Linked DNA regions of Oryctolagus cuniculus. The protein of the gene in region 1 binds, or shares a complex with, the protein of each later gene. Links are inferred from orthologs where the notes say so. Each region holds a gene or a part of one and is shown on either strand. Other genes may lie near its edges.

What was found.
Region 2: SF3A3 (region 1) and SF3B4 share a complex: the UniProt entries of both Homo sapiens proteins name them as parts of the 17S U2 SnRNP complex. The link is inferred for Oryctolagus cuniculus from reciprocal best matches to the Homo sapiens genes SF3A3 and SF3B4.

Annotation. Positions count from the first base shown.
Region 1 is NC_091438.1:134,808,042-134,817,957, reverse strand, and holds the start of SF3A3 (splicing factor 3A subunit 3), read right to left. Parts: upstream 4,616-9,916; 5' UTR 926-4,615; coding exon 830-925; intron 597-829; coding exon 549-596; intron 1-548. Other genes in the region: FHL3 (four and a half LIM domains protein 3), read right to left, coding at 7,456-7,610, 7,691-7,877, 7,974-8,143, 9,357-9,531, 9,633-9,808. UniProt on the Homo sapiens protein: Component of the 17S U2 SnRNP complex of the spliceosome, a large ribonucleoprotein complex that removes introns from transcribed pre-mRNAs.
Region 2 is NC_091438.1:48,023,967-48,033,545, reverse strand, and holds SF3B4 (splicing factor 3B subunit 4), read right to left. Parts: upstream 6,340-9,579; 5' UTR 6,251-6,339; coding exon 6,217-6,250; intron 5,781-6,216; coding exon 5,652-5,780; intron 5,076-5,651; coding exon 4,533-5,075; intron 4,216-4,532; coding exon 4,009-4,215; intron 1,711-4,008; coding exon 1,537-1,710; intron 1,349-1,536; coding exon 1,161-1,348; 3' UTR 969-1,160; downstream 1-968. UniProt on the Homo sapiens protein: Component of the 17S U2 SnRNP complex of the spliceosome, a large ribonucleoprotein complex that removes introns from transcribed pre-mRNAs.

The DNA of each region.
Region 1 (9,916 bases):
CCCCTGCACCCAAGAGGGAGACCCAGAGGCTCCAAGCTCCTGGCTTCGGCCTGGTCCAGCCCCAGCCGCTGCGGCCATTTGAGAGAAATGAACCAGCAGATGAAAAGACCTCTCTCTCTCTGTAACTCTGCCTTTCAAATACAATAAACCTTATATTAATAAAAATAAGTAAAGCTTCCATTTACGCCTCATGTGGCTTTAGCAATTTTCAACACTATTTTCGACTCGCTTCCTTTTGTTTGTAGTAAGCAACTGGGCTACTGCTGGACAAATAGTTTAGTGGTCAAAAACACTCCCCCACAGCGTCCCGGAGTTACCTGCTGCTGCACAGCCCTCCGCGGTAAGGGCCCGGGTCACGGGCTCATCTACAACTAGTCTTCGGCCATCCAAGAGGCACCGGGCGCTGTAAGCGGCGTCTCTCCGGGTAGTCAAAGTCCCCCCACGTAGACGCAGGAACGCAGCCGACCCCACACCCGTGCAGATCCCGCACCCCGTCGGGCTCCTCCCGTCCCGCCCACCGCGCCCCGAAGAGGACACAGGGCACTCACATCCTGCATGGCCCGGGTGCGGTGGTCGGAATTGATCTGGTCCCGGAGCTGAGGAAAGGCAAAGCGGGGCACAGGCGCCGTCAGTCTGAGCTCGGAGCTGGAAAGGCCGCCCGAGGGCGGAGCTCACCCGCTCGGGTCTCGGCGGCTGAAGCCCAGGCCTCGGGCGCGCGGGGCCCGGGGAGGAGGCAGGGGCGGAGCGCGGGCAGGGTCTGCGCGCCCGAGGACGCTCGCGGAGGTAGCGGCCCGGCCTCGACGTCAGCCGCTGTCCAGGTCCCACTCACCGTGGACTTCTTGGTGAGCATCTCCTTGGCCATGACGTCCATGAGCCGTTCCTTCTCTTCATGGTACCGCCGCTGCTGCTCCAGAATCGTCTCCATCTTCCCTCCGCCGCAGCACCTCCACTGAGACCACCGACACGGCCGGAAGCGACTCCTGCCGCCTTGCGCGCCTGCGTCCCCACGCTGTGCATCCGGCTGCACCAAAATTCCGGGAGTGCCGGAAGCGTCCCGGGAGTCGAAAAAAAGTGAGCACCACAGGGAGAGAGCCCGTCTGTGGTGTCGCTATGGCAACAGCGCCCCCTGCTGTTCGGAGGTACAGTGGCGCCATGGCGTGAACCCAGGCACCTGCGGTTAAGCGACTGGCTTCCTGGGGCTTGCTGGGGCTCGCTGGGCAGGTACTGCCGCGAGACTGAGGAGTAAAGGGTTCATGGGAGATGGGAGTCTCTAGAGTTCACTGTGACATCTGACCTTTCTCTGGACCTCAGTGCCTCTGACAGTAAAATGGAAAAAATGTTTTGTTTTTTAAAGGAATTCATATGTACAGATTATCTGTGTATGCTCCATCCAAGTAACGAAATGCTATATTATATATGTATATGTATTTAAATGCTTTTTTTTTTTTTGACAGGCAGAGTGGACAGTGAGAGAGAGAGAGTGACAGAGAGAAAGGTCTTCCTTTGCCGTTGGTTCACCCTCCAATGGCCGCCGCGGCCGGCGCGCTGCGGCCAGCGCACTGCGCTGATCCGAAGCCAGGAGCCAGGTGCTTCTCCTGGTCTCCCATGGGGTGCAGGGCCCAAGCACTTGGGCCATCCTCCACTGCCTTCCGGGGCCACAGCAGAGAGCTGGCCTGGAAGAGGGGCAACTGGGACAGAATCCGGCGCCGCGACCGGGACTAGAACCCGGTGTGCCGGCGCCGCAAGGCGGAGGATTAGCCTAGTGTGCCGCGGTGCCGGCCTTTAAATGCTTTTTAAAAAAATTTATTTGAAAGGCAGAGTTACAGAGAGACAGAGAGATCTTCCATTTGCTGGTTCACTCCCCAAATGGCCACAATGGCCAGGCTGGGCCAGGCCAAAGCTAGGAGCCAGGAGCTTCCTCTAGGTCTCCCATGTGGGTGGCAGGGGCCCAAGGGCTTGGGCCATCTTCCACTGCTTTCCCGGTTGAATCATAAGGGAGCTGAATCGGAAGTGCAGCAGCCAGGACTGCGCCCATGTGGGATGCTGGCACTGCAGGCCAGCTTAACTCACTATGCCACAGTGCCGGCACCTATACAGCCTTAAAAATGAAACATATTGGGGTAAAGGCACCGCCCGTGGTGTTGGCATCCCATAAGGGCACTGGTTTGAGTCTTGGCTTTTCCAATCCCGATCCAGATCCCTGATAATGCACTTGGGAAAGCAAAGGATGGCCCAAGGCTTTGGGCCCCTGCACCCAGTTGGGACACTCGGAAGAAGCTCCTGGATCCTGGCTTTAGATCAGCCCAGCTGTGGCCGTTGGGGCCATTTGGGGAGTGAACCAGCTGATGGAAGACCTGTCTCTCTCTCTCTCTCTCTCTCTCTCTGTAACTCTGCCTTTCAAATAAATAAATGAATCTTTAAAAAATGAAATATCTATATGTCCACTTACAGTTGGAGAAATGAAAACATAGGTACTGATGTTCATAGCAGCATTTATTCATAATTGCCAAACGTTGGATGTGATCTTAGTCCATTAAGTGGTGAGTGGGTAAGCAAAATGGGGAATCTCTACAGAGAGCAATAGTACTCAGCAATAAAGGAACACTAGCATGATGAACCATGAGTGTGTCACACTAAGAGACAGAAGTCAGAGGGGGCGAGCACGCAGCATGGCTGTCGGCTAAGCACGGCCATGTCCCATGTGATGATGCCTGGGTCGGAGCCCTGCTCTGCTCCCGATCCAGCTTCCTGCCGCACAGCCTGGGATGCAGCACAAGTACTCAGGTCTCTGCGCCCCACGTTTGAGACTCAGAGAGAGTTCCTGGCTCCCAGTTCAGTCTGACCCTCCCCAGGCATTGCAGGCACGTGAGGGATGCACCAGTGGATGGCGGTGCTGTCTCTCTGTGCTTCAAATATGTTTTAAAATATTTTTTAAAGATTTTATTTATTTATTTGACATGTAGAGCTACAGACAGTGAGAAAGGTCTTCCTTCTGTTGGTTTACCCCCTAAATGGCCGCTACGGCCGGAGCTACACTGATCTGAAGCCAGGAGCCAGGAGCCTCTTCCTGTTCTCCCATGGGGGTGCAGGGGCCCAAGCACTTGGGCCATCTTCTAAAATATTTTTTTAAAATAGGAGCAGACAGGAAAAAAGGACAGAGTCTGTGTCCAGATGGAAGGTGGCAAGGACACATCTATGGAGCCAGAGAGCAGATGAGTGGTTGCTGGTGACCGGAGGCGAGATTGGAAAGGACTGAGAATGACCACGAGGAATCCTTTTTGGGGCAAAGCAATTCTTCTAGAACTGGGTGGTTGTGACAGTTGCATAGCTATTCAATTTGCTAGAATTAATTGAATTGGACACTTGAAATGAGTGAATTTTATGGCATGTAAATTGTACTTCAATAAAGCTGTTAAAAAATCTGTGTGAACTCGTATGGAAAGATGGTCAAAGTGAGAAAAGCTGGTGGCACAAACAGTGAGCACAAAAATAGCCATGCAAAGGGCTCATTGCTGTCAGGGTGGCCAAGCTGCAGGCAACAGCGTGGCTCCCGAGGAGGCGGCCTGCGAGAGCGGGGGTGGGAGGAAAATTTTTTCGTTGTATATATCCAAAGTACAGCATGGAACTTTTATATATGTACATATACATAAGTTATTTTTTTTTTGAAAGGCAGAGAAATAAAGAGAGAGAGAGCTCTCCCAGCCTCTGGCTCACTCCCTAAATGCCTGCAACAAGCAGGCTTGGGCCAGGTTGAAGCCAGGACCCAGAATTCAAGCCGGGTCTCCTTTGTGGGTGGCAGGAACCCAAGTACTTGAGCCAGCGCTGTTGCTGCTCAGGGTGGGCATTAGCAAGAAGCTGGAATGCAGAGTGGAGCTGGACCCACACCCAGGTACCCTCATGTGGGATGCCGGCGCCCAGAGGTGGCCTAACCACTGATCCAAACACCTGTCCCAGAAATCTTTTTTTTTTTAAAATCCGTCTATTAATTTTTCAATTTAAAAACAAATGTAGGGGGGCCCGGCGCTGTGGCGTAGTGGGCTTAGCCTCTGCCTGCAAGTGCCGGCATCCCATCTGGGTGCCAGTTCTTGTCCCGGCTGCTCCTCTTCCCATCCAGCTCTATGCTATGGCCTGGGAAAGCAGAAGATGGTCCAAGTGCTTGGGCCCCTGCATCCAGTGGGAGACCTGGAAGAAGCTCCAGGCTCCTAGCTTTGGATCAGCACAACTCCAGCCACTGCGGCCAACTGGGGAGTGAACCAGTGGATGGAAGACCTCTTTCTTTCTCTCTGCCTCTCCTCTCTTTGTATAACTCTGACTTTCAAATAAATAAATAAAATATTAAAAAAATATAGAGGCCAGCAATTTGCCGCAGCGGGTTGAGCTGCCCCCTGCAACAATGGTTCCAGTCCCAGCTTCCACTTCCGATCCAGCTCCCGGCAAATGGAGTGGAAGATGGCCCCAGTTTTTGGGCCCCTGCACTCATGTGGGAGACCCAGATGGAGTTCCTGGCTCTCGGCTTCCTTGCGGCCATTGGGGAGTGAAGCAGCAGATGGAAGATCTTTCTCTGTCTCTCCTTTCTCTGTAACTCTTTCAAATAAATAAATATCTAAAAAAAAAACCCTAAAAATGAAAATATATATATGCATATTTAACAGAAAGAGGAGGATATAATACAACTTTTTTTTTTAGTTGTTTGGACTTGTCCCATTTTTCTACAATAAATATGTGCTGCTTTTTAAAAGTTTGTAAAATAATAATATGGAAATAATGACCTTGTTTTGCCAGCTCGGGGGGGGAGGTTTGTGAGGGTCATACTGTGTGTGGGAATTTAAGTGAGACTTGCACTCCTGGGGGAAGGTAGCCTGGTCACAGCATGGGATCGGGGCTTTTCCTGGGCCACGGGAGAGGAGGGAGGGGGTAAATTCTACTCAGTAATGGACTCCAACTATTTATTTATTTACTTAGGGCCCTAATGGTTTGGAGTTACTGTATTTCAGTGAGTAGGAGATGCCATCAAATGTAAAATTAGCCATTATTTGAGGCTTTAACTAGGCAAGAAAAATTGTCAGATTATGATACACCTTGATTATACATCTGGATTTCTTAGATGCTGAATCTGAAACATGTTTCTATGGAATGAAATGAAACAGAGGGCTGTAGCTTCACTTTTTTCCCCAACACTCTGCCTTCCTTCCGCTAAACACTGCTCCGGCCCCAGTGCTGTGCCTTCCACCCGGCTGTTGCCTGCCTGGGAATCTCTCACTGGGACCACTAGCCCTGCCTCCTAACTGTCTAGTGCCTCCAACCCATTATTCATGCTGCAGCCGGAGCGCTCTTTCCTACACTCCGGTCTCACACCCCTGCTTGCATATGGGCCCTGAGGGCGAGGTCTGTTTAACTTGGCATTGGGTTCTCAGGACCTGAGCCCTGCCTGCCATTTTCCTCTCTTGGCACTTCCTCCAAACGAAATAACTTGCTGCTTCCCCAAAGCAACGTATGTTTTCAGACCCTCAGGCCTTTGTACCAGCTGGCTTCTACGCTTGGACTGCTCTTCCTCAACAAATATTTTTGAACATGCAGTAAGTGCCAGGAGCCCAGACCGGGTGAGCAAGGCAGGCTCGATCCTCAGAGGGGCTGGTGGGAGAGAGAAAATAAATGCAAACATGATGATTTGTTGGCAGCACACACACGATGGACATTCTGCAAATGTTTGCGGAAAATGTCAACCGTGGCCTCAGGAAGTTTAGGACTTGGGGTAGGGGGTTGGGCAGGAGTTAAGAGGCCCATATCCCATACCCCAGCGCCTGGGTTCAAGTGCCGGCTCTGCGTCCAATTCCAGCTTCCTGCAGGTGATGGCCAGAGTACTCAGGTCTCTGTCACCCACGTAGGACATCCAGGGGTCTGGCTTGGGCTTGGCCCACTTTCTGCTACGATCAGCTTTTGGGGAATGAACCAGATGGAAGCTCTCTGTGTGTTTCTCTCTTTCAAATTTACACATACATAATGTAAAAAAGAAAGTTTAGGCCAGCACTGGGCCTGGGAGGCGGCGTCGAGAGGCTGAGAAGAGACTCCCTACGGGGGCTGGAACTGGCTGTGTCCGAGAAGCAACGCCCGCCCAGAGGATCTCGGGCAGGACTCACTGCGAGATACATATAATCACGCGGTTTCCGCCGGGCCGGCGGGCCCCGCCCGCCCCACGGCGCGGCCCACCCGGGGCGGCTCGGGCGCGACGCGGTGCACGCGTACCTGCCCGGACCGTCCGGCGGCGGCGGCGGCGTCCACACCGCAGCCGCGGGCGGGGCGGGGCGGGCGCAGCGCAGTCCTGGGTGCTCCGCCCCCTCTCCCCACTTTGGGGGCCAACCCCCCTGGCTCGCGCCCGCCCCCGCCCCTGAATCATGGTGGGCGGGGCCGTGACCCATTCATGCTGGGAATCGGATCCAGATGTTCCCGCGGCGCGTGCAGCTGCATCCTTGCCTTTTTTGGCAAAAAAACGTGCGGCCGCGAGCAGATCCCGGGCCGCCCCCGCTAATCTTCGGGAAGAAGGGGAAGGGGGTTGAGGGTCTGGGCCCAGACTGGGGCTCAGGACCGAGTGCAGGCTCCGCGGGATTTGGGCAGGGCAGTTAGGAGAGAGGCCGGCTTGTACCGGGGGAGGGCGCCCCGCCGCCAGCCCCGCTCCTGCCTGGAACCTCCCCGTCGCCGCCCTTCCCCACGGGAGAGAAGCAGCCTTCGGCCAGCAGGAGGGGAGGCAGGGCGAGCTTGCCGGAACGGTAGCTTCGGCAGGGATCCCGTTCCGGGGGGCAGACTCCTACCCTGTGGCACTCGTAGCCCTGGGCCTCTGCCCGGGGACACGGAAAGTCTAGAAGAGCCGCAAAGGGTCCCAGGCAAACACACAGACGCCTGGCTTCCTCACACTGCTTTATTGCAGAATCTGGAAGAGGGCCGGGCTAATCCCACTCCCTCTGCCCATCTCTGGGCAAAATGCAGCTGAAATAAAACGAGAAGACACTCGACAGACACAGCCTGGGCAGCACCTGTACCCCAGAGCCCCTTAACTGGGGGAGCCTCCCCAGGTGCAGCCCAGACAGCCCCCTCCCCGCAGCCCAGGGGACCGGGGTGGGATGGGCCAGGGCTCAAGCCTGAGTACAGTCCATTTGGAGGACTTCCCAGGCTCCTGCAAGACACCTAAAATCTCTGGAGAGTAGTCCAGATTTAAGGGGGCTCTAGGTCCCCAGAGTTCAGGTTTGAAGGGCTGGGGTCTACAGGCCTGATGTGGGGAGTGGGCTTGCTCTGAGAACCCCGACTATGGAGGAGAGGGCTGGGTCCTGGAGTCCAGGTCTGGATTGGGGAGTACCAGTTAGAGGTCGCTGGGGGCAGGGGGAGCCCCATTTGGGGGAAGGGCTGGGTCCCAGAGGGGGTTGCGAAGAGGGGCCGTAGTCCTGGAGCCCTGGTTCTGAAGGCTCAGGGCCCTGCCTGGCTGCAGCCCTGACACAGCACTTGGTCTCCATCCGGCACGAAGCCCTGGCCCACCAGGGACGTGGAGCACCGGGCGCAGGAGAAGCAGCTGTGGTGCCAGTGGCGGTCCTCGAAGGACACATACTTGCCCCCACCGAGTCCTGCAGGGATGCCGGTGTCAGTCCTGCCCCTCAGCCTCCCCCAGCACCACACCCACCCCGCCCTCTGGCTCCTGTCCCACCTGTGATGGGGCGCTTGCAGCTGCTGCACTTAGGTGCAAAGAGTTCTCCAAAACAGGCCACACAGTAGGGGTCATCATCCCGGGAGGTGAACTGCTGCCCTGCCAGGGGCGTCTGGCACCCGGTGCACACCAGGCACTCGCGATGCCAGGGCTGGTCGCGGTACGTCACTCCACCCTGGGTCAGCGTCTGGAGGGGGCAGTGGCCATGGGCAGGGTGAGGCTGAGTGGCCTGCCCACCCCACGACCAGTGTTGCCCAGCCCCACTCCCTGGCCCAGCCCCCACCTTGCTGCAGCGGGCACAGCGAGGAGCAAACTTGTTCTCATAGCAGGGCACGCAGTAGTGAGCACCCTTGTCGGGCACGAAGGAGCGGGAGCCCAGCGGCTGCTCACAGCCGCTGCACAGGAAGCAGTGTTCATGCCACGTCTGGCCTCCGTACTCCAGCTTCCGGGACCCTGTGGGGAACAGCAGTCCTGCTCAGAGGCTGAGCCCCATGCTCCTGAGGGCCACCCGCCCCCGTGCCTCCCCCAGGAGATGCCCACTGCTCCCACTGCTCGCACAGGGTGGCATCCATGCACATGCAGCAGGACCCCCCACACACTGCAAATGGGAACCTCCCCAAATGCTGGACCCCACGGCTCAGCACATGCTAGGCCCCTAAAGTGGACATGAGGGTTTAGTGTATGATTTAGCTCCCATGTGTCCCAGGTGCGACTTCCTCAGCACACAACAAGACTCCATCTGGGGCCGGCGCTGTGGCGTAGCGGGTAAAGCCGCCGCCTGCAGTTATTGGCATCCCATTTGGGCGCTGGTTTGAGTCCCAGATGCTCCACTTCCAATCCAGCTCTCTGCTATGGCCTGTGAAAGCAGTAGAAGATGGCCCAAGCCCTTGGGCCCCTACACCCATGTGAGAGGACCCAAGAAAGCTCCTGGTTCCTAGCTTCGGATCAGCGCAGCTCCAGCCCTTGCAGCCAATTGGGGAGTGAACCAGCGGATGGAAGACCTCTCTCTCTCTCTCTCTCTCTCTCTGTGTAGCTCTGACTTTCAAATACATAAAATAAATCTTAAAAAAAAAAAAAAAAAGGCGTGATGTCTCTGTAAGCTGAGCTATGGTGGTTTCAGCATCCTCATGAGACCCTACACATGCAAGGCAAGCAAGTCTGCCCACACCAGTTCTAAAGCCCTGGGTGTGATAGGTTCCATACATGCTAAGTCCTCTGTCTCCTGGGCACATCACTCTCCACATGTGCCAAGTCCCCAGGTACCTATCAGGTATGCATTCCCACACATACTACACCCTCTGCGTGCACCAGACCCCAGTGCACCCAGCATGAAAGTCTCAGCACACCCTTAGCTCCTGCATGTACCGGACATGCAAGTCTTCATCCGTGCTGTTCCACCACGGGTGTAGAGGCCACCTGGCCCGGCGCACAGTCCCATCCTCAGCACCGTACCAGGCTTGCTTGTCTTGGCCTCAGCATACCGATGCCCATGCATGCTGAGGTCCCAAGAGCGTGTAAGCACAACAGGTGGTGCGCACACTGAATTTCCACCCCATGCTGCACGTGCAGGCCTTCACACACGCCTGGCCTCTGGGGATGCCCCAGCACAGGCACAGGCCCTCCACGAACGCCAGTTCTGCCACGGGCGGAGTCGCCGGGGACGTACCAGGCATGACGGTCTCCCCACAGGCGGAGCACTGCGAGGAAAAGGCACTGCAGTAGCAGTCGTTACAGAGCAGCTCGCTGTCCTGGCACGTGAAGGGCTCGTCGGCGAGCGAGCGCTGGCAGCGGCCACAGCGGAAGCAGCCCTCGTGGAAGTGGCGGTCTTCATAGAACAGCTCCTGCGAGGGGCGGGGCAGGCAGGGGGTGCTGGCACTGCGGCCCTCTGCCCCCTCCCGCCACCCTCTGCCTGCTCCCTGCCCTGCCCTGCTCGGGTCCTTACCCTTGAGTCATGCCCAATAAGCTGCTGGCACTCAGCACAGGTGTTGGCGAAGGTGTTGTCATAGCAGGGCACGCAGTAGGGGCCGCTGTCTGTCTGGATGTACTTGCGGCCATACAGGGACTCGCTGCACTTGGCACAGTCGAATGCCTCGCTCATGGTGGTGACAAGAGTCAGCCCTGCCGGGAGCACATGCAGACCCGCAGTCACCCGGAGGGGCTGTGGCTTAGCCCCTGGCAAGCATTCTTTGCATTCACAAAAGAGCAAGAGACCAGGCATAGGAAATG
Region 2 (9,579 bases), about 87 Mb from region 1:
TCAGGGACTCTGCCTTTACTAGGCTTTCCTTGCTGGCCCTTGAGGTTGATACATTCTTTATTTAAATGTTAATATTGCAATTAGGTTATAGCCAAGTCCTGCAAGGAGGGAGCCATTTCTCCTCTTCCAGGGGACTTCGCTACTCCCCGTTATTGATTCATTACTTGCTAAAATAGAAATCTTGTACTCTTGGAAGAAGCACTTTTAAGTTCTGGGGGAAGATAATCATTTTCCTCAGGCGCCACAGCCCCCTTACCTGGGCCCACTGAAGAGGCCCTAGGGGCTTAGTTGTGACCCTTCTCACCTACTCTCTCGCTCCGCTCAGGCAGTCCTACGAGCATGCTATTTAAACACATGCTCCCCACATTTCCCTCCAGTCCAGACCTCCCCATCAAGCCCGCCCTCAGAATCGCTGTCTACCTTCTCAACACCACTGCCTGAATATCTACTTAGCACGTCAAGCTAGAGCAGCTGGAATTCCGAGCCAAGAACCTGCAGCCCCAAGTGCTCTCCTCCTTTACCTCGATGTTTCCAATGGTTCTGTACCTCACTGTGGAGGAGTTGAAAAGCTATGATCCGAACCAGCTCCGACCTCAGCCTGCCTCCAACACCAGGCAGTGTTGTTATTTGTCAAACCAGATGGATATGTGAGGTGTTACCAATCTCCTCTTACCACAAAGAGAGTTACAATGAACAGCTTTGTGCATTCTACTTGCTATTTATGCCAGCCTATCTCTAGGCATCTTACTTCTTTTCTCATCTTACTATAATACTCTTATGTTCGAGATACTGGGACCCCATGGGATAAACTAGAGATAAGCTCTATGCAAGGAAATAGCCACTCCAGGGCACCTCAGAGACCAGCTATTCCAACGGCACATCACAGAATCCTTACCATTTCTCTCACAAGACCCGACACTTCTTGGAGAAAAAGAGAAAAGTTACTTTGCCAAGGATAACACCACAAAGAATAAACAAGTACAGTTTTATTTTCCATGTGCATTTGCAAAACACTTAGGACCAACATAAAAAAGGAAAAATCTTGTGGGGAAAAATTACATTAAAAATGGAGAGCTCAGAGAAGCTAGCTACAGCAACTCTGATTGGTCCAAGGAATCGAAAAAACTTCAGCTGAAAATAATAGGAAGGAGAATTGGAGTTTATTGAGGAAGAGGGCCCCGAAGTGGGCCTCGAGGGGGAACTGGAGGCCGGGGAGTGGGTCTGGGTGGAGGAAGGGGGCCCCGCTGGTAGCCATAGGGCGGGGGCCGTGGAGGACCAGTGTACCCATGAGGCGGCATCAGTGGAGGGGGTCCTCGCATACCATGTGGAGGCATAGGGCCTGGGTGACCTGCAAAAAGGGAAACAGAAATTAGTAGCAGTGAGTTACAGGAGACAGTTGATGTTGGAAGACCTGTGGGAAGAGGAAAAAGTGACTTAAAGAAACGTGAGAAAGAAAAGAACAGGCATGGGAAAGCTGACAAAGAAAGCTGTGAGAATGATACATATGCAGACAGGAGGAGGCTACAGCCCACTCACCCATGGGAGATCCAAACGGAGGTCCTCTGGGGGGCATGCCCATTGGAGGAGGTCCAGGATGAGGCATTCCAGGAGGTGGGCGTGGTGGTGGCTGTCCCCCAGAGCCTGGGGGCCCAGCATGGGGGTGTCCTAAGCCATGAGGGCCATGGTGGGCCAGCTGCATCTGAGACATCCCTGTGAAAATAAGAGACAAGGGGAAAATCAGGAAGAGAACAAAGATGGAGAAGAGAGCAACATGAGAAAGAAAATGACATCAGGAAGAGAAGGGGCTAGAAAATCCAAGGTGCTCCTGTCCCTGCTCCCACCCCAACAGGACAAACCACCGCACGTCATGGTTCCTCAATGACCCAGGCACTGGAATAGTAATGCACAAGTGTGTAACCACTGGAGGGATTACTCCACTGACAGGACAGGCTGCCCCAACAGCCACCTAAAGGACAGAATGTTTCAGGAGGATGAGAACATGGAAACAAACTGTCCAAGGCAGAAAGGTGAGCATTTGAGAATCACAGGCGTGTCAAAGAGCACAGACGTCTCGTCTCGGCAAATACCAGTAACTCAGCAATAATCTGGAGCAGTGGCTATGGGGGTGATGGCAGGACCAGATCAGGAAACGCCCTGAAAGCCACGGTACTGAGTGTGTGGGGAAGCTTTACTCTGCAGGTAGAAGGGCACAACAGAATTTTGAGAAAGGGTATCTGAATACCTGGCGGAAAAACATCTGGGAAAATAGATTCAGGACAACACTGTAATCAAAGTGGCAAGAGATCAGCACAGTTAAGTGTGAAATAACAAGGGACTAAGAGCTTGCACTAGGGCACTGGCAGGGGAGGCAGATACCACAAGTCTAAGAGTTCGTATGACAAGTGAGGCGAGGGCGCAGTGCTGTGGCACAGCAGGTTAAGTGCTGTCTACAATGCTGGCATCCTTATGGGCGCCAGTTTGAGACCCAGATGAAGCTTCTGGCTCCTGGCTTTGGCCTGGCACAGCCCAGGACGTTGCAGCCATTTGGGGAGTAAACCAGCAGATGAAGATTGATTTCTCTGTAGTTCTGCCTTTCAAATAAATAAAATTAATATTTAAAAGCAGGAAGTGAGGTGACAGGGAATAATCAAACACAGCCCTAGACTCATGAATTATGCACCTGAAAAATACGGAAGACTTATAGAATAGGTTTGAAGGGGGAGGGCCCCGCACTGTGGCACAGCAAGTCAAGCAGCTGCTGGTAACTCCAGCATCCCACATGGAGCAAAGGCTCAAGTTCTGACTGCTCCACTTCAGATCCCTGCTAGTGAGCCCGGGAAAGCTGCAGACGATGGTCCAAGTACTTGGGTCCTTGCTCACCCACATGGGAGACACAAATGGAGTTCCTGGCTCCTGGTTTTGGCCTGATCCAGCCCTGGCCATTGCAGCCATTTGAACTAGTAGATGGAAGCTCTCTTTCTCTGTCTCATCTTCTTTGTAACTCTGCCTTTCAAATAAATAATTACATAAAGAAATTTTTTTTGAACGGAAGAGACAGAGTGCCCAGTCGCTGAAACTGGGGGAGAGCGAGGTTACAAGGTTGAAAAGAGAGAATTACACCTGGGCAGGCCAGGAGGGCGGCTCAGTAGAGAGGCAAAGGTGAGCGCACAATCCATTTGGACTCCCTAGGTTTTTTTTGTTTTTTTTTTTCTTTTTTTTCTTTTTATTCACAGAGAGAAAAGAGGCAGAGAAAGAGAAAGGTCTTCCATCTGATGGTTCACTCCTCAATAGGCTGCAATGGCCAGAGCTGTGCCGATCCGAAGCCAGGAGCCAGGAGCCTCCTCCGGGTCTCCCACGCGGGTACAAGAGCCCAAGGACTTGGGCCATCTTCCACTGCTTTCCCAGGCCATAGCAGAGAGCTGTATTGGAAGAGGAGCAGCCGGGACTAGAACCAGCACCTATATGGGATGCCGGAGCTTCAGGCCAGGGTGTTAACCTGCTGTGCCACAGCGCTGGCCCCTACACGTATTTTTTTAAAAAGAGAAAGGTCTGAAGGGGAGAGGTACAAAAGTGGATCTGTCCACTGAGCAACAGGATTATGGATTTAGATTGTTAATAATCATGAACTAGAGATACAGACTAGGAGACATCAGTGTATACTTAATCTAGACCCAGAGAAAAATCAGTTTATCAAATTGACTGAAACTGAGGTGTCAGGTGGAGAATCCAAAAAACAGATGAAAAAAACAGACAAGAATTTCAAACAGGAGTACACAGCTAGTTTCAAATACAGCAGAGGGCAAACCATCTAAGAAGTCGAAGTATCCCCTAGACCACTGCTCTGGGGTTGAGTCAGAGAGAAGGGAAACAACAGGGAACAAACAAACAGCAAGTATAGGCTACTCTGCAGAAAGACTTACACAACAGGACAGGTGGTAAGTAGTAAACTAAAGAGAGCATTTTGTTCGTTCACGCACATCCCTCCCTTTCCCAGCCAAGAACACCTACCTGGATGGGGCATGCCACCTGGTGGGAAGGGGTGAGGATGTGAGTGTCCATGACCAGGATGTCCAGCCCCCGGGGTGCCTGCTGATGGAGGGCCATGTCCTCCAGCCCCAGGAGGCATTGGTGGGGGGGGCATGGCTGGAGGTATTCCAGGTGGGAGGGCTCCAGGAGGCGGCACTGGGGGTGGGAAAGAGCCAGGAGGAGGCATGCCTATATAGAAATCAGAAGAAGGATTAATGGCGGTGGGCAAAGAATGCCTTTAAAGAACCTGTCCCAGTTTGACCTGTCTATGCAGGGTGAGTTCTTGCCCCCTCCTCCCAGTGCTCTAAGGTCACAAGCCATGTTGCACTACTCAAATAATCCTACCTCCCTGGAGAAGCCCGACAGAGTTCTTCACACCCCTCCCACCCACCACCTCCTAACTCCCTTCTCATCACCCACTGACTCAGGAGATCTTCCCTTTCCAGGTTCTTTGTTCTCCTCACTGCAGCCCCAAGACAAACGTATTTGCGAACCAAAAGCTTTACCTGGTGGAGGAAGCCCAGACCCCAGTGATGATACCACAGGGTTGGGAGCAGAGGGTGGAGGGGGTGCATCTGCAAACAGCTGATGTGGGCGATCAGCCTGGGAGAGTGGGTTCTGGGCTGCCAGAAGTCGTTCAGCTGCGGAGCCATGGCGCTCACCCTTGGAGTCCTTCTTGAAGGCATAAGACACGGTGATGGGGCGGTTACAGAGGTACTGCCCATTCATGGCCTCAATTGCTGCATCCGAGGCATCAAATGAAGCAAAATTAATAAAGGCATAACCTTTGGAGTTGCCTGTGTCAGGGTCCCGCATGATCTTGGGGGTTTGTAAGATGACCCCAAAGGCGCTAAAAGTATCGTAAAGCAGCTTCTCGTCAATCTCCGGGTCCAGGTTCCCGATGAAAATGTTGGCCCCGACATCCAGGTTTTTGTTGTGAGCTGATGCCTTGTTCACTCGTATTGGCTTCCCATAGAGTTTGATCATGTTCATGATCTTAATGGCATAGTCAGCATCTTCTTCACTCAAGAATTCCACAAAGCCATAGCCTAAGCAGGCAGAGAGGAGATTAGCAACTAGAGCGAAGATACCCGAAACTGGGTAAAACTCACCCACCCTCCAATCACAAAGAACAAGAAAATGATTTTAGAAACAAACTGTGAACTGAGGATTAAGAGAAAGCAATCTGGGGCCGGTGCTGAGGCACAGTGGGTTGGGCATCTGCCTGCAGCACCAGCATCCCATATGGGCGCCAGCTCAAGTCCCAGCTACCCTACTTCTGATCCAGCTCCCTGCTGATGGCCTGGGAAAGCAGGAGAAGATGGCCCAAGTCTCTGGGTCTCTGCACCAGGGTGGGAGACCTGAAGAAGCTCCTGGCTTCAGACTGGCCCAGCTCCGGCCAGTGCGGCCATTTGGGGAGTGAATCAGTGGATGGAAGGCCTCTCTCTGTCTCTCCCTCTCTCTGTCTGTAACTCTGCCTCCCAAGTAAATAGATAAATCTTTAAAAAAGAGAAAAGAAGAGGAAGCAATCTTCTGGTCGCTCATTCTGAAACAAGTATAAATACCGCTGGGACCCTCAGGAGCAGCTGTCAGATACATAAAGTGGCCTCTTGGCGCGGACTCACCTTGGTGCTGGCCAGTGACTCTGTCCTTCGGCATGTGAGTGTTGACCACCGGTCCTGCCTGCAGGAAGAGCTCCCACAGCAGAGGTTCGCTAACCTTCTCGTCCAGGCCCCCCACGTACACAGTAGCATCTGGAGGGAGGATGCAGGAATTTAGGATGGGGACGAATATGACAGGAAAGGAGCTGACCGGGACATAAAGATGGAACCCAGTTAGAGGAACTGCAGGCGGGGATGTGGGACAGAAGCGAAAAGGGGGAGGTGGAAAGCATCCAAATAAGCCCTAAATCGTCCTCTTCGCAGGACCTAGAGCCCCTTCTGAAGTTCACTTTAGTGTCTGCTGCAAATTCCGTCCCACTCAGAAAAGGCAGCAGGGGGACTGCACGAAACATCACACGTCCAGGCCTCAGCCTGCACCCGGCCAACCCGCCCGCACCAGCCACGGAAGCGAGTCTCGCGCCCTCCGGGGGACGGGGGTCCAGTTTCCCGCCTTGGAGACGCTACTGGCCTTAGCTGGGGCTTCCCACCCTCCCGGGCCCATTCCGGACTCGTCTCCCCGCCCAGTCACCCTGGTTCCGCTCGGAGATCGGCCCGGCAGCCATGGCGAAAAGAATCCCGCCGCCTCCAAGCAGCGGCTCCGCCCTCTGGCCGCGGTCACTACTTCCACTTCCGGGGCGAAGACTTACGTGACGCTGGGCGGGGCCCGGACGGGGGCGGGGCCGGAAGCGGCTGCGGCCATCTTAGGATCCCGCGGGACTTGACGGTGCTGTGGCGTCCCGGTTCAGAGGCGTTTGGATTTGCGCCGAGGTTCCGGGGCGAGCGGTCGTAGCGAGGAGGGCGGGGCAGGAAAGCGCAGGCCCTCTGAAAGCAGTGCCAGACGTCTCCCACCGGTGCGGGCGTTTGGCACAGCGGTTAAGCCACAGCATCCTCAGTCAAGAATTACAGGGTCCGAGCCCCGGTTTCCCCCGACTCGAGCTTCCTGTAAATGCACACCTTGGGAGGCAGCAGAAACCCCAAGTTTGGTCCCTGCCACCCATGTCGGAGACCTGGATTGTTCCCCGCTCCCGGTCTGCGTCTGGCATGGCCCCGACTGTTAGAGGCATTTGGGGGAGTGAACCAGCGGATGGAAGTTGTCTGTTCCTCTCTTTCAAGCTAAAAATAGTAACTCTTCGTGTATTTTGTAGCCAGCTGATCCTTTTGTCACCCAAAGGAAAAGGTTCTCAGGGACCCCTCAACCTAAGGACTCTGCTCCACAAGCGTCTTAGTTTTGGCCTCATGCCTCTGGCTGGCTCGAGGTAATGTCTGAGCCGGAGTGTGAGCAGAATCTGAGGCTCCCCGGATGGAGTGTGACCAAAGCTGCAACTCCAAGAGCACTTTCTGGCCCCAGCAACGTCATAATATGCTCTTGGCTGTCTGCCTCTAAATGGGAGATGAGAATTCTGAGCCTCACGTGGTCCAAATCCATTCCTTTCTTAGAAATCATACGATGGGGACCTTTTCTCAAGTCTTTGCTATCTAGGATCCTTCATTCAAATCCAAGAATCAGTGCCAGCAATGTGTATAAATATTGTGCTTTAATGAACTTAAATAGAAATGCCACTACAAAAATGTACAGTTGGAAGAGAGGGTGTGTTTCATATCCACTTTGTTTCCAAAAGAAACTATACAGGAAGAAACAGAAATTGGAATTAAAATAGGCAGCAAGAAGGGGCAAGAATGAGGTCTTTAGGCCATACTGTTGGAACTGGTGAACAGCGTCTCTGGTGTCACAACTTAAATAGCTGGCTATCTATAAAGCAATTACATTGTGGATTGTTTTGTTTCTTAATTCTTCAACTCCCAGGAAACAACAGCTTCAGGAACCAAATAAAAGGACAAGAATTAAAGATTAGCACCACCGTCCACAACAAACTCAATTCTAAGTGAGTTTGCTTAAGAGCTGGAGTGTGAAAGCTGAGGCAACAAGGCCATATACAAAACACTGCAGTATTAGGACTCTCCCTCAACCCAGATCCCCCGCTGCTCTTTGAGAATGCCAGCAATTTCAGCAGGAATGAGAGAGAATGGTACTTGGATCTCTTTTCTTGGAGTGATCACCAGGAAACGCTCTTGGTGTCCACTTCCTTAATAGTTCCTGAAGATGGGATAGTTCATCCTGGAGGCCAGAGACTGTGAGAGCTGAGAGGCCCATCTGGGAAGGGTGCCAATAGGGACAGAGAGAAACGTCATTGCAGCTCTAGACCCCTGCTTCTAAGATCTGCCCGCTACTTGTGGTGCCTAATTGTCTTTCCCCTCCCAACTCTGCCCTAAATTCCATTTAATGTAAGCTTCTAGCAGTTTCCTCTAACGGTACTTCATTTCCCAGCCCGCCCAGCCCCTTGCCTTCCCAGCTCTGTTCATCTGGTTCAGCTGTCAAGCCCCTTCCCCCACTCCCAGTCCCTGTCTTCTTTACTCACCTGGACCTCGGGCCGTCCCCTCAGGTAGCAGCGTCTCCAGAGCCTGATCTGAGGTCCCAGATACCCAGGCAGCAGCAGCCCTGGAGGTAAAGGGCAAGCTCCCCAGTGTAAAGGGAGCCCCCACTCTTGGTCAGCCAGGCTTTCAGAGGAGACAGCCATCCGGGGTAGCCAACGAGAAGAGACCGCCAGCAGAGAGGGACTCTCCCGCCACGGACAGAGCTGGTGTAGAGGGGTCAGGGCCCCTTTAGAGAACAGCCACACAGAACTGGGAGGGCCAGGAACCAGGAAGCTTGGCTAAATGGGAAAGGGAAATCAACTGGCAACTGAGAAACCAGACAAGCTCAGTGTCCCCAGTCTGTTAGGAAGGGCATGGGACTCCTATCTACACTTGCACTGGCAACCAGAACCCCAGGCCTGCGCTCAGAACTGTCCTCATCAGGCTGCAACTAGGGCTCGGGACCGATGAAAGTTGATTTTAGGGCAACTTGTAAAATGTATGTGTGAAACAGGAAGACTGAGAAACAGGAATGAGAAAGACAAAAGTATAAGCCTCTATTCTGTCCTAGGACTTGTGTCTTCCTGGGGAAAGTCAGAGACTGACAGCTGCAGAAGAGAAGTGGGGAGGCTTCCCGGGAGGAACTCAGACATTATGTCTCTCTGCATCTAGTAGCATAAGCCTGTGGAGAAAGTCAAGGGAGTTGAAGAAGTCAGATGCCTCACCTGCTGTCTCGGAAGCCAGGCATCTGGGCCGTGTTCTGGGTTATAGCCAGGATTATGGAATTGTAGTATCTGTTCATTACTGTAGCGTAAATCCCAGTCCCAGACAGACAGCTGCAGGTTAATGGAATTCCCAGCTGGGGGGTGGGAGTACCCTGGGGTATAGACTTGTGTGTAGGAACTGAACTGGACCGAGGAAGCAGGAAAAAGGATGGTTACATAGAGTAATATAATCCTCCTCCTGAATCTAGACATTATGAAACTCTCCCCTCTTACTCCAGGAATCAGATGGAGGGCAAAACCTAGTCCTGAGAGCAAGCGTGACCTCCCCTCCCCACCCATGGACCGCACTTCTCATAAAACAGATCAAGACTGAACTTCACACAGCTCTTCTCAATGAGAACAAATGACCAGTCAAAAATATAGAGGTCGCTGACCTGTCCACTCTGCTTTCCACGCTCCCAGGGAGTATTCCTCAGAAAAGTAAGGGTGTCAGGAACCCTGACACTGTCATGAAGAGCAAGAAGGAAAAACTCAGAGAATTCAAACTCAGCTGGAAACTGCTGGAGGAGCTGCCAGACACAGTCTAGGAACAGGAGGAACACCGGCGCCTGGGAAGGGAAGGCAAGAGGTTGGAAGGGTGGCAGAGACCCAAGGAGGGAGGATGACAAATGATGGGCCTGGGGGACACAGGACATGAGGGGCATTATGAAGGTGAAGGGATGACAATATGAACTGAGGGCGTAGGGTGTTGGGAG